Linked DNA regions of Arabidopsis thaliana. The protein of the gene in region 3 binds, or shares a complex with, the protein of the main gene of each other region. Each region holds a gene or a part of one and is shown on either strand. Other genes may lie near its edges. The genes, in order: MSI1, SWN and VIN3.

Evidence for each region.
Region 1: VIN3 (region 3) and MSI1 share a complex: the UniProt entries of both Arabidopsis thaliana proteins name them as parts of the plant homeodomain / polycomb repressive complex.
Region 2: VIN3 (region 3) and SWN share a complex: the UniProt entries of both Arabidopsis thaliana proteins name them as parts of the plant homeodomain / polycomb repressive complex.

The regions. Positions count from the first base shown.
Region 1 is NC_003076.8:23,554,140-23,557,893, reverse strand, and holds the start of MSI1 (Transducin/WD40 repeat-like superfamily protein), read right to left. Parts: upstream 1,883-3,754; 5' UTR 1,783-1,882; coding exon 1,438-1,782; intron 1,335-1,437; coding exon 1,008-1,334; intron 843-1,007; coding exon 690-842; intron 553-689; coding exon 428-552; intron 316-427; coding exon 220-315; intron 129-219; coding exon 1-128. Other genes in the region: TTL (transthyretin-like protein), read left to right, coding at 2,033-2,314, 2,395-2,496, 2,582-2,738, 2,915-3,348. UniProt on the Arabidopsis thaliana protein: Core histone-binding subunit that may target chromatin assembly factors, chromatin remodeling factors and histone deacetylases to their histone substrates in a manner that is regulated by nucleosomal DNA.
Region 2 is NC_003075.7:884,863-888,616, reverse strand, and holds the start of SWN (SET domain-containing protein), read right to left. Parts: upstream 2,038-3,754; 5' UTR 1,925-2,037; coding exon 1,889-1,924; intron 1,638-1,888; coding exon 1,518-1,637; intron 1,418-1,517; coding exon 1,152-1,417; intron 1,012-1,151; coding exon 853-1,011; intron 600-852; coding exon 515-599; intron 412-514; coding exon 268-411; intron 180-267; coding exon 132-179; intron 48-131; coding exon 1-47. Other genes in the region: AT4G02010 (Protein kinase superfamily protein), read right to left, coding at 3,395-3,754. UniProt on the Arabidopsis thaliana protein: Polycomb group (PcG) protein. Catalytic subunit of some PcG multiprotein complex, which methylates 'Lys-27' of histone H3, leading to transcriptional repression of the affected target genes, mainly abscisic acid (ABA) responsive elements.
Region 3 is NC_003076.8:23,247,846-23,251,599, forward strand, and holds the start of VIN3 (Fibronectin type III domain-containing protein), read right to left. Parts: upstream 1,660-3,754; 5' UTR 1,445-1,659; coding exon 1,430-1,444; intron 1,021-1,429; exon of another isoform or gene 970-1,020; coding exon 903-969; intron 624-902; coding exon 74-623; intron 1-73. UniProt on the Arabidopsis thaliana protein: Plays a central role in vernalization by mediating the initial transcriptional repression of the homeotic gene FLC, a floral repressor, after a cold treatment.

The DNA.
Region 1 (3,754 bases), 310 kb from region 3:
TGGAAATAACCCAATCTTCACAAGGGTTCCACGAGAAATCTGAAATTTTGCTAGTGTGACCACCGTGAATAAACAGCAGCTCAGGTGGGCCGTCTTCTGCGTCCTCCACTGTCTGTTCCTCATCGATCCTATCATAAGACACCCTCAAACATATCAATATTGCTCCTCCATGACCATACATGAACATTAAACTAAAGAACTAAAGTCTACGGCCCAAACCTGCTAAGGTCCCAAACCATAAGTCTTCTACCAAGGCAACATGAAGCTAAAATAGTCTCGTTCTTTGGGTTCCAACCAACTTGAAAAACCTCCTCTCTGGAGATCAAGCACATAATTAAGGTTAGTGATGTTGCTGTAACTTGTAAATACTTCTTAGTAACACAAAATCCATCTCAAAGCGGCAATATTTATGGCGTATCATTCTTACTTGTGGCTATCAAATGTGTGAAGAGCGGTGCTTAGCTTCCGTAGATCGAATAATTTAACAGTCTTGTCAGTTGATCCTGTTGCCACAACCCACTCATTAAATGGATTGAAGGCTAAGCAGTTAACCTAAGGCATTTCAAACAACTCAACAATTAGCAAATACATACGAGGCAATATGATTCAATGGTTTTTAGTGTTAAGGAAAGCAAGCTTAAAAACCAGAAGTATTATCTGTATCTAAAGCTAATATATTGCAAACTCACCTCCATCGAATGAGCAACCACAGACTGTACTGGTTTACTGGCAGATGGAGAACGCAGATCCCATATGAGAAGGTATTGGTCATCTCCAACTGATCCAAACAGGTACTCATGTCTCAGATGCCATGCAACATCTTCCACAACCCCTTCATGAGCCTTAAGTTCAGAAAATAATCATCAGCAAGGAAAACACAGAAACCAACCTGAATATCTATCTATGAGCTTTCATAAGTGTAACTGATTCCGTTAAGTGGGTGCAATTCCTTCCTTTCTAGATGATACAAAACAAAACTAAAAACGAATAGAAATCCAAAGCATTACCTTAAAAATCTGCTGAGCGTCCAGAGATTTGTTTTTAGGAGTAGCGTTAATATCCCACAAGCAGATCTGAGCATCATCAGAGCCACTAAGCAAATGACCCTGCTTGAACTTACTCCAAGAGAGACCATATCCCTCAGAGCTGTGACCTCTAAGCTTTAAATCAGGATTACAAGCCCCATCAAGAGGAGGCTTAGATGGATGCTTACTGTAATCGAAAACATAGACCTCCGCATTAACTGTCTTGGTAGCAATTATGAAAGGGTTTTGAGGCATATAGCGAGCTCGATTAACCTCACCATCATGATTTATCTGCTGGATAATTTGTACCTACACAAGCAATCAAACTAACATTTATCATCCTTTACCTCGTTATAACCCTAGAATCAAATCTAGAAAGTTGGAAATGAGAAACAAAAATAAAAAATCGCACCTTTCCAGTTGCACAGCCAAAGCCACCAAATTCAGAGCGGTCATCATCGTACTGACGAGCTTCACTCTCGGTATCGTCAAGAGGAAGCTGAACTTGGGCTAGCATCAAGTAATTGGGCTCGCTCTCGGAGGTATGGGTACCGAGAATCATCTTCTGAACGGAGTAGTCTTTACCGGAAGGTTCTTCACGGTCAGGAAGCCATTCAACAGTAAGTGAAGGCCACTCGAGAGCGTGAGTAATAACGAGATCGTAGAGGAAAGGAGTGTTCTTCTTCCAGATCTTGTACTCTTCATTGATTAGTCGCTCCTCGATCTCACCTCGCATTTCCTCTTCGTCTTTCCCCATATCGGCGATGTCTTTGTTATTCCCGCCACAAGAACAAGGCAAAACCCTAAAACAGATCTCTTTACAAATTGTAAGAAACTTCTCGCTTCTGTTTCTGAATAATTCACATATAGAAGATGATGAATAAAAAAAGGAAGAAGATAAAGAAAAGGCCCATTTTTGAAAAGCCCGTTTATGAAAAGGCCCAATTAGATGACTTTTGATCTTACACCAGTCAACAGAAGTGAGGATTGGAGAAAAGAGAGAAAAAATGGCGATGGAGATCGGAGAAGATGAATGGAAGGTTTGCTGTGGAAGCTCCGAATTCGCGAAGCAGATGTCTACGTCTGGACCGTTAACTTCTCAAGAAGCAATATATACTGCAAGAGACATCTGGTTCAACCAAGTTAATGTGACAGATTGGCTTGAAGCTTTCTCTGCTCATCCTCAGATTGGGAATACTCCTTCACCTTCTATCAACTCCGATTTTGCTCGTCGGAGCGTATCAGAACAGTCAACCGCCTTTGCCACAACTTCTGCTTCTGCTTTACAGGTGATGGATCTTCACTTTTTTTTTCCTTCATCTCTTCAGTGATTTCTTCTTCTGATGATCAATTGTTTTCAATTTCTTAGGAGCTTGCCGAATGGAATGTACTTTACAAAAAGAAGTTTGGCTTTATCTTCATTATTTGCGCTTCTGGCAGGACTCACGCTGAGATGCTCCATGCGTTAAAGGTCAACTTTTGCATTTCCAAATCAGTTTTTGTTGAGTGTGAGTGAATGAGAAAGTTACATATTCATCAAATCGTCTCTTTTTCAGGAAAGGTATGAAAATAGGCCAATAGTGGAGCTTGAGATTGCTGCTATGGAACAAATGAAAATAACAGAGCTACGAATGGCAAAGCTGTTCTCCGATAAGGCTAAAGTTATATCAGAAACTGACAGCTCTAGCTCTCCTGTTTCAACAAAACCTCAAGGTATATTGATGATTTACCAAATCTTTTCCTTGTCAAAGTTTTGTGTTTGACTGTGTGGGTTTGAACCTGTTAGGATTCAGTATGATATCAAGTATGTGTCTTTTGGAATACAAGGATTTACCCTTATGGCTATCTTTGTTATCTGTGTGACCTTTTCTACTTTCTCGCTTTGTAAGATCGTCTGAGAATCATTGGAGGGCATTTGAATGTTGCAGCTGAAGCAAAAGCTCCCAAGAGAAGTAGGCCACCGATCACGACTCATGTCTTAGACGTCTCACGTGGTGCTCCAGCTGCAGGTGTTGAAGTGCACTTAGAAGTGTGGAGTGGTACTACCGGTCCTTCCTTTGTTCATGGAGGTGGTGGGGTCTGGTCCAGTGTGGGCACATCAGCTACTGATAGAGATGGGCGCAGTGGGCCACTGATGGATTTGGTTGACGCTTTGAATCCAGGGACATATAGGATTAGCTTCGACACTGCAAAGTATTCCCCAGGCTGCTTCTTTCCCTATGTTTCCATTGTATTTCAGGTTACAGAATCACAGAAATGGGAGCATTTCCATGTCCCACTGTTGCTTGCACCTTTTTCTTTCTCCACATACCGTGGGAGCTAGAGCTATGCTACTGCTGTCTGCGGCACCAACTTTCCAACACATTTTGTTTTGGTTGTACCACTACGGGAACATGTATCAAAATTGCTATGAAATGAAGTCTTTATTCGACATGTATAAAAATTGCTATGAAATAATGTCTATTCGAGTATTTATTTGGATTTGTAGTTCTGTAGAACAAACAATGAATTAGCGAAAATACGAGCTTTGATCTAGACTCATTGTGAGTAGGACAACGATAGTATAGATTACCATGTTAAACATCTTGGGAGATTCTATACCTTTGTACAAAATGGTCGATCACAAAACAAGCCTCTAAAACTGTTGTGTGTTTTAATCTAGACTCATAGCCAGCAGGACAATAATAGTCTAGATTAAGACATCTTGGTCGATTCCAAACCTTTGCGCA
Region 2 (3,754 bases), on a different chromosome or scaffold from region 3:
GGTTTCCTATCACCTTCATAATCAGACCAATAAGGCTGTTTTTCACTCTGTCAACCAAAGTTCTCTTGTTATGTTGTCCACTGAAACTTTAGCAATACAACTAAAGAAAGTAAAGACAAATTCAAGCTTACAGCACTAATCAAAGGCTGAGAACATCCATGCAGACGACAGTCAAATACCTGTTAGAAATAACCAAAGAAGGATTAACATGATTAACAAACACTTAATAATACATGCTCTCTCTGTCACAAAGAACAATCCAAGTACCAAGCAACGGCGGCAGAAAAGATTATCAAAAGAATCTAGAGCTGCACCAAGGCCCTTTTCCAGAGATATTCCCAGCTTGAATCCGGAATTAGAAAATTCCTCGGTATTCTGCTTATCCTTCAACTTGAGCTCATTGTATCTTTCCTGCAGCAGACAGGAAAGCCAAACATCATTAGTGAAGAAGAATAGGAAGACCAGAAAAACATCATTAGATAAACCACAAGAACAAGATGACTAAAAACTGCACCAGGATATCAGAAGCATCTACGCTTAGCAACTGGCAAAGGGCATCCTGCACTTCCTCACCCATGCCATACTCCTGCCCAATTAACCTGCCAATTCAAGTCAAACGAGGTATGAAGAAATTCATATATAGTGAGATATATTTCAAACCTAATGCTAATGAAGAGTCTTACAGAATGAAATTTGATATGAATACGAAATATGACATCTTTTTTTAGCATCAACAAATGTGATTCATTGGTTAATAAATTCCACCCAGGTACTTCTTCAAATACCAGTATCACAATTTTTCCCCATCAGAGTACATGAGAGTCCATAATTTACACTCTCTGCAAAACTAACCATATAATGGAATCTTCACCCTCGGAAAATTCACGTTTTTCCTCCTCAGGTTCTGGTTCTTCCTCACTATCGCTGCATATTAGCGTCTCACCACCATGTTGTTCATAGTAGATTTGTCTTCGACCAACCACAGACTGATCTTCAGCCATTCTTTGATTTCTGCATGGTTAAGATATTTTTTCAGAAAAGAAAAACAACACATAATATGAAAACTGAATTTGATGTTCTAGTCTATTGTTCAACTGAATTTAGAATAGCATGCTACCAACGCAAAAATGAGAACTAGAAAAGGTGCATGCCTGTCCAAAAATATCCAGGTAGTGTATGGCGGTATTCTCTCAGCAATAGGAAGCTTGACACTTGCTGATATAACATCCTTAGTAGGAACATAGTCTCTATCTCCCACACCATGAGAAAAACCATTTAACTTGCAGAGTGGCATTCTCATTCTCGAAGAAAGCATATTGCTATTTCCATTATCCTCTGCGGTAGCTCGGCTCGATGCAGCAGATGAAAAGGGAGAAACATGAGCATCCACTTTCTTTCTATTAGCCTCAAATTTCTCCTACATTCCCAGGAAAACAATCAAAAACGGATAAATGATTTCAAATTTTTTAGACATTAGTATAATTAGTAAAGAACATCAAGTATAGAAACTCTCTTACTTTAATAGACCTAACTCTTTCTCCTTGAATTTTCCTTTTAAGCTCACTTAATCTGTTTTCCAAACCCTCGAGTCTATCTTCTTCTTCTTCACCATCATCATCATCATCTACATGAGACTTCTATTCAGAAGCCCAAATCAAAACAAAAATCGTGTAAAAAACAAAAGCAACGAGGAAAAACACTAATTCTATAAGGTCCATCAACTCCAACAGTGAACAAAAGTAAGAGAGCGATTATAATTTGATGAACTCAAACGGATTTCACGAACAATCAGCTGAAAAAACGCGAATGATCATGCGCATACGAGCAAAATCAGATAATAAATCAAAAAAAAAAAAAAAAGAGGAGATTGAAAGGTAAATCTGAGTACGATTCGTCCAGAGGAGTTGCTATCGTCCGTCACCATTGATGACTCCTCGAGCTTTCCGCTTCTCTTCCGCTCGAACTTTCTCTCTCTCTCTGCTTTTTCCGCAATCAGACTTGTGAGAAGGACGAACGGAGTGTGGACTGGAAGGGGGGTTACATTACATACAAAGAACGCCACACGTGTGAATGAATAGTGCTTATACGTGTGTAATTTAATTAGTGGTTTTGCGACAATTATTTTCTATTTGTGATTATAATTGTATGTTATCTTAAAGATAACTATTACGACATGCCTGGCTCTGGAGCCGTTGAGGCTAATAATGGCTAATATTATTAACGTCAAAGTCTCTAGAGCCACACAGGTTATAGCAGTTACGTTTGAGATAAGTATTAGTTGTAAAGTAATAAACTCTGAACGTAAAAATATTAAGATATTTGTGATTATAATTGTATTTTATCTTAAAGGTAACTACTATGATTTGTGTGGCTTTAGAAACTTTGACGTTAACAATACTAGCCATTGAGGCTAAGAATATTAGCTGTAAAGTAAAAATCTCTGAGCGTAAAGATTTAAACTGTAAAGATTTTTTTTTTTTAACATATGTATGCTTCTTATAAACTTGTAAAGGGAGATACAAATATCTTTCTAACCATAATGGTGGTACAGAGAATTAATTAACTGAGCCTTTTTAGATAAGATGTCCGCAGCTGCATTTCTTTCCCAATTAACATGTGCTAAGGAAGAGAACGGAAGCTTCACCATCCAATAACGAATATCATAAAGAAGAGTGATGATCTTATTATGATCACTCTGCGTATTGATCAGATTTACTAGCTCTGCATTATCGCTCTCAAACCACACATAAGTACATAATGTAGTCCTCGGGACCAAGTCACTTGAAGGGCATGAAGAAATCCGAGAGCCTCTGCTTGAAGAGATAATTGTGACGATTGAAGTTGAGCACGCCCTGAACTAAGGAAACATCCATTGCAATCTCTGTAAATCCATCCTGAATGTATGACAGTCCTTTCCTGAACATAACCACTATCAAAAATAATAATAATAAAAACTGTGATTTTAACTAATAAGAAAGGAATTACTTTAAATATTGGTTTGATACCATAAAAATTATATTTAAAATATTAGTTTTTCAACAGATTATATTTTATTTAGATTATTCCATAAAAAAAAAGTATTATACTGTTACTTTTAGCTGTAAAAACTTTTACTGTAAAAAGCCTTTAAAAATTAACAGTACAAACTAATCACCTGTACATAGTTTTTTTATATTGGAAAAAGTATATTCAAATTCTATTTGTATATCTGATGGTTGTGGCAAATATTAATTAATTAACGCAAAAATATATACAAAATTCTATCCTCCAATAAAGGAGAATCCAAAATCCAAAGAGCTGTAATAATGTCCCAAACTCAAAAGCTTCTCTGGTGGAAATTTTCTCACCGTAAGTGGGAGAAAAACAAATAAAAAGAAGAAAACCCTGGCTTCTATCATCGGCCTTCGTGAAGATCTTCTGAGAAAACAGTTGTTCGTGTAATATTTTCATGATCAAAAGCGCTTAGACCAGAATAAGGACCAGAAGAGAACATAGAAGAGGTTACTTCTGACTCGAACGTAGCTGATGATTGTCTCCGGTTAGGACGAGCTTTATTTGAAGTGTTTAAAACCGGGTCTTGATACTCAACCACCCGTTGAACCATTTTAAGTGACTGAACCACTTCGCCCATCGTTGGTCTCTGGCTAGCTTCAGGTGCAACACAAGCTGCAGCGATTGTGCATACTCTTATGAAATCTTCTTTCGGGTATTTTCCTTCAAGTCTTGAATCGACTAGTTCTTCTAACCGGTCTTT
Region 3 (3,754 bases):
ATACACACACATTACATTACATTCTCTTTTCATTGTAGTATATCCATAGATTTCAATATCTAAAGATCCTTACCCGAGCAAGTCATTATCTTTACCGCAATACGCGCAATAAAACCTACCATCAAGATCATCACTCCCAATCCCATACCTATCTTGCTTCAAACCACATTCCAAATGACAAGACGATCCACAAGCATCACAAGTAAGCCATAAACTAGGATCCTTATTATCATCAAACTTTTGACAGATGCAGCAAGAACACCTTCTGCAAAACGTATCATCGCATCCAAGCGCAGCTCTACAAGCTAAATTCTCACAGCAAATGATGTAACCGATCATCTTCTTCTCCTTCTTCCTCGAGTTTCTACGGTCAGAACAAGAGGTCTCTCCAAGAGGACGAGACACAAGATTCAGAAGATTCTCTATGAGCTTTGGTTTGTTAAGACCAGTGTACTTCCTTTCTTTACCCATCTCAGCACATATGATCTTCATGATCTCATTTCTGCTCCATGAATTCAAAAGCTCCGAAGCTTCTTCAGGCTGGTTAGACAATGCGTGGATCAATTCTCTCCTTTCACTTACATTCAAAACGTTTGGTTTACAAGTCTCAATGCATTCATTATCTGCACCATAAAAGACCAATCCTTTAGCCCTAGATTCTCCTCAAGATAAAAAGGAGAGGATCACAGATTCTGACTCTTTTTGGGGTAAAAATGATCAAAAGTATAAAACTTTGAATGAATCTCAACAACCCAGAAACGAAATATCAACAATGACGACGAATCCAATGCGAGAAATAAAACGTTTGTTGATATTGTGTAAAAACGTCGTCGTGTTAACGACCTAAAACGCATGAAACTAGGAACAGTGAGAGAGACGTTCACGTCGAGAAAATATCGTACCTTCAAACGAAGAAGAATCCATGTTCTCTGGACCCACATTACCATCGAAACGCCAGATCTTTGAGAGCTGCCGAGATCCGATTTCACACAAAAGGTTCAATTATGTCAAAGTTAAAGCAAGAACCAAAAAAAATAAACCATCACAACAATCTGACAATAACACTTAAGTACAGACAAAAAAAAAATTCTCAAAGATGTAACACTTACGATGATGAAGAACACAAGATCGAAAAAAAAATTCAGATTTTATCGATTTTCATTTTGAAGTTATAATCTTTAAACAACCAAAGAGAAACCCATGAAATACACTTTGTAAGAACCTATATTTGTAACTATTAGACAAAAGATTCGAGGATGACTCAGTCTTAAGAACAAACCATTGAGAATTTTCTTTAATTAAAATAAACAAATACTCAGAGAGTAAATATATATGCAAAATTAGAATTGGTTGTTGTTCACCGAATGAGAAGCCTTCAAAAAAAAACAGCATACAAAGAATATTTATATAAAAAAAAAACGCTGTTTACCGAAGCAGCTTGCATTTTTTTTTTGTTTGTCGTTCTTCGTGTTCTTCGTTTTTTTTCTCTTGATTTTTTTTTTTGCTAGGTTTATTTTAGAGATCTTTTATGGGGATTTAGTGAAAAAGGAAAAGATGTTTCTGTGATGGATGGTTCTTCTCTCTCTCTCTCTCCTTTTGTTTTTTCTAGATGTTTCTAAGGAGGAAACCCTCTGATGGATGAAACTTCTGCTCTGATGAGAGCTTTTTTTTTTAAAGTTCTTTAGAATTTTGGTTTTGTGTATTTTTTAATATTAAAAAAAACGTTGGAAATATCTTCACGTGCTTTGGAAGATATTATATACGCAAATGCTTTGATTTGACCTGTAACCAATGCTGGACTTATTGTATATACCTTTTCTAGGATGTCGCTTATGACTCACTACTATATGTTCGAAATATTACGATATGTAAAATCATTTTTATTTACTATCATAAATTTTATAAATCTTTTTATTGAATTTAATAGTTTGTTTATATACAAGTTTTTTTTTTTTTTTTTTGAAAATATTATTTTTTCTTTTATAAGAAGAGGGGAGAAGAGATTATGATAATGTTGATATGGTGTATGAACTATCGTGTACAAACTTCGAGTAAGTCTTAAACAACAAAGTTATTAGTTTATAATTTCAGAATTCTGAGTTTAGATTTTGTGACAAGGGTTTTTAGTTTTTGTGAAGTTTACAAAATGCAGATCTCTTAAAAACTTTCACATATTTTTGTTTTGCATCATCTACGTTAATTTGTGATGATTAGTAGTATTTTATTAACAAAGTTAAACATCTAGTATTAGTTCAAATTTTCAAAATCCACAAAACGTTAACAATAAAAGAAGGTTAATATTCTATATATAGATTATCATATGAAAATGAGAAGTTCCGTTAGATTAAATTATGTTTTCTAAACCAACTGATGTAAAAGATTTTCTTAAATAACTGATTACTTTAGTTCATCTTTTTTTGTTTTTTGGACATCTTTAAATCGAGTAGACTCGATCTATAGTCAATGGATTTTTTAGGTGAAAGTTTACTAGAGGGGATAACGCTTAATGGATTCAAATTTGGGTGGAGAAAACGGAGTCAAGTAAACTTAATTCATCTTTAAAATTTAGTTCATCTACAAATACTTTAATAGTACAGTTTAGTAATACAACTTGTACTAGACAAGTACTAATATAGCCATTAACAATTTTAGTTTGCCCATGAAGACGGTCGGTCCAGATACCAAAAAAAGCGATTTGCCAAAAGTTTTTTTTTTGAATTAGCATCCCATGTAAAGAATTTCTTCGACTAATTCTTTTGGGACGAGTGACTTTTTGCCAAAAGAAAATTAAGAATCCACATTCGATTAAAAATTATGTTAGAATTCATGAACGAGTGATTATGACAAAGATACATGCAATAATTGTAACTTAATTTTGTAATAGAATTCCATAAACATTCACATGATATATCTTAACCCAAGTTATTTCAGGTTAGTAAGTTGTATTGTGGATCAAAAGAGGATTTGACTAAAATGTGCAAAATGAGCATTATCATGTAAAGAGACGGGACAGGGTGAGAAGGGGTGGTGGAGGTAGGGCTAAACCAGTTAAAAGTCCGCATATTTTTAGTTTTGACATGTTCGATCTAAGTTTTTCCAACTGAATAATTAGAGTGTTTGGAGTTAGGGTTTAGATCATAATTTATTGTTTAGATATAAAAACAAAAAATCATCAAATGAGGAAGAAGAACAATGCTATTACATGGTAAAAACGTAAAAATCCATATGAAGTTTGTAACATATATAACATATTCAATGAAAGGTTCTAATATTGTATCGTTGGCCTTCGTGGTATAAGAAACAAATAAACTGCGCTAGAGCAAATAAGTTAGAGAAAGTTCACTTGCAGTGGCATTTGAAAACAATTGGAAGAGAGAAATGTGCTAACACTTGGACATGAAGAGAACATGAACGAAAAGGAAATCATGAAAAAGGTTAAATGTTAGTTACTAAACATTATGGATGCAATTATGGTTTTTCAAAAGTGTTTTATGACCAACTAATTGTATATTCGATCTTGATAATAATTTGTGTGGTCTCGTAAAAATGTGATGAACATTTATGATGATTGATTATTGGGCTAGTGTAAATCAAGAAACGGGCGTTCTATCACGTTGATTATTTCAGTAATCTGCAGAAAATAGTATACTCGTACACACACACACACTCAACGAAGGCAAGATATGAAGATTTGTGTTTATCGATTTAGCCCATTGAAATGAACAATAAAGGGAGAATATAAGAGAGACATCTA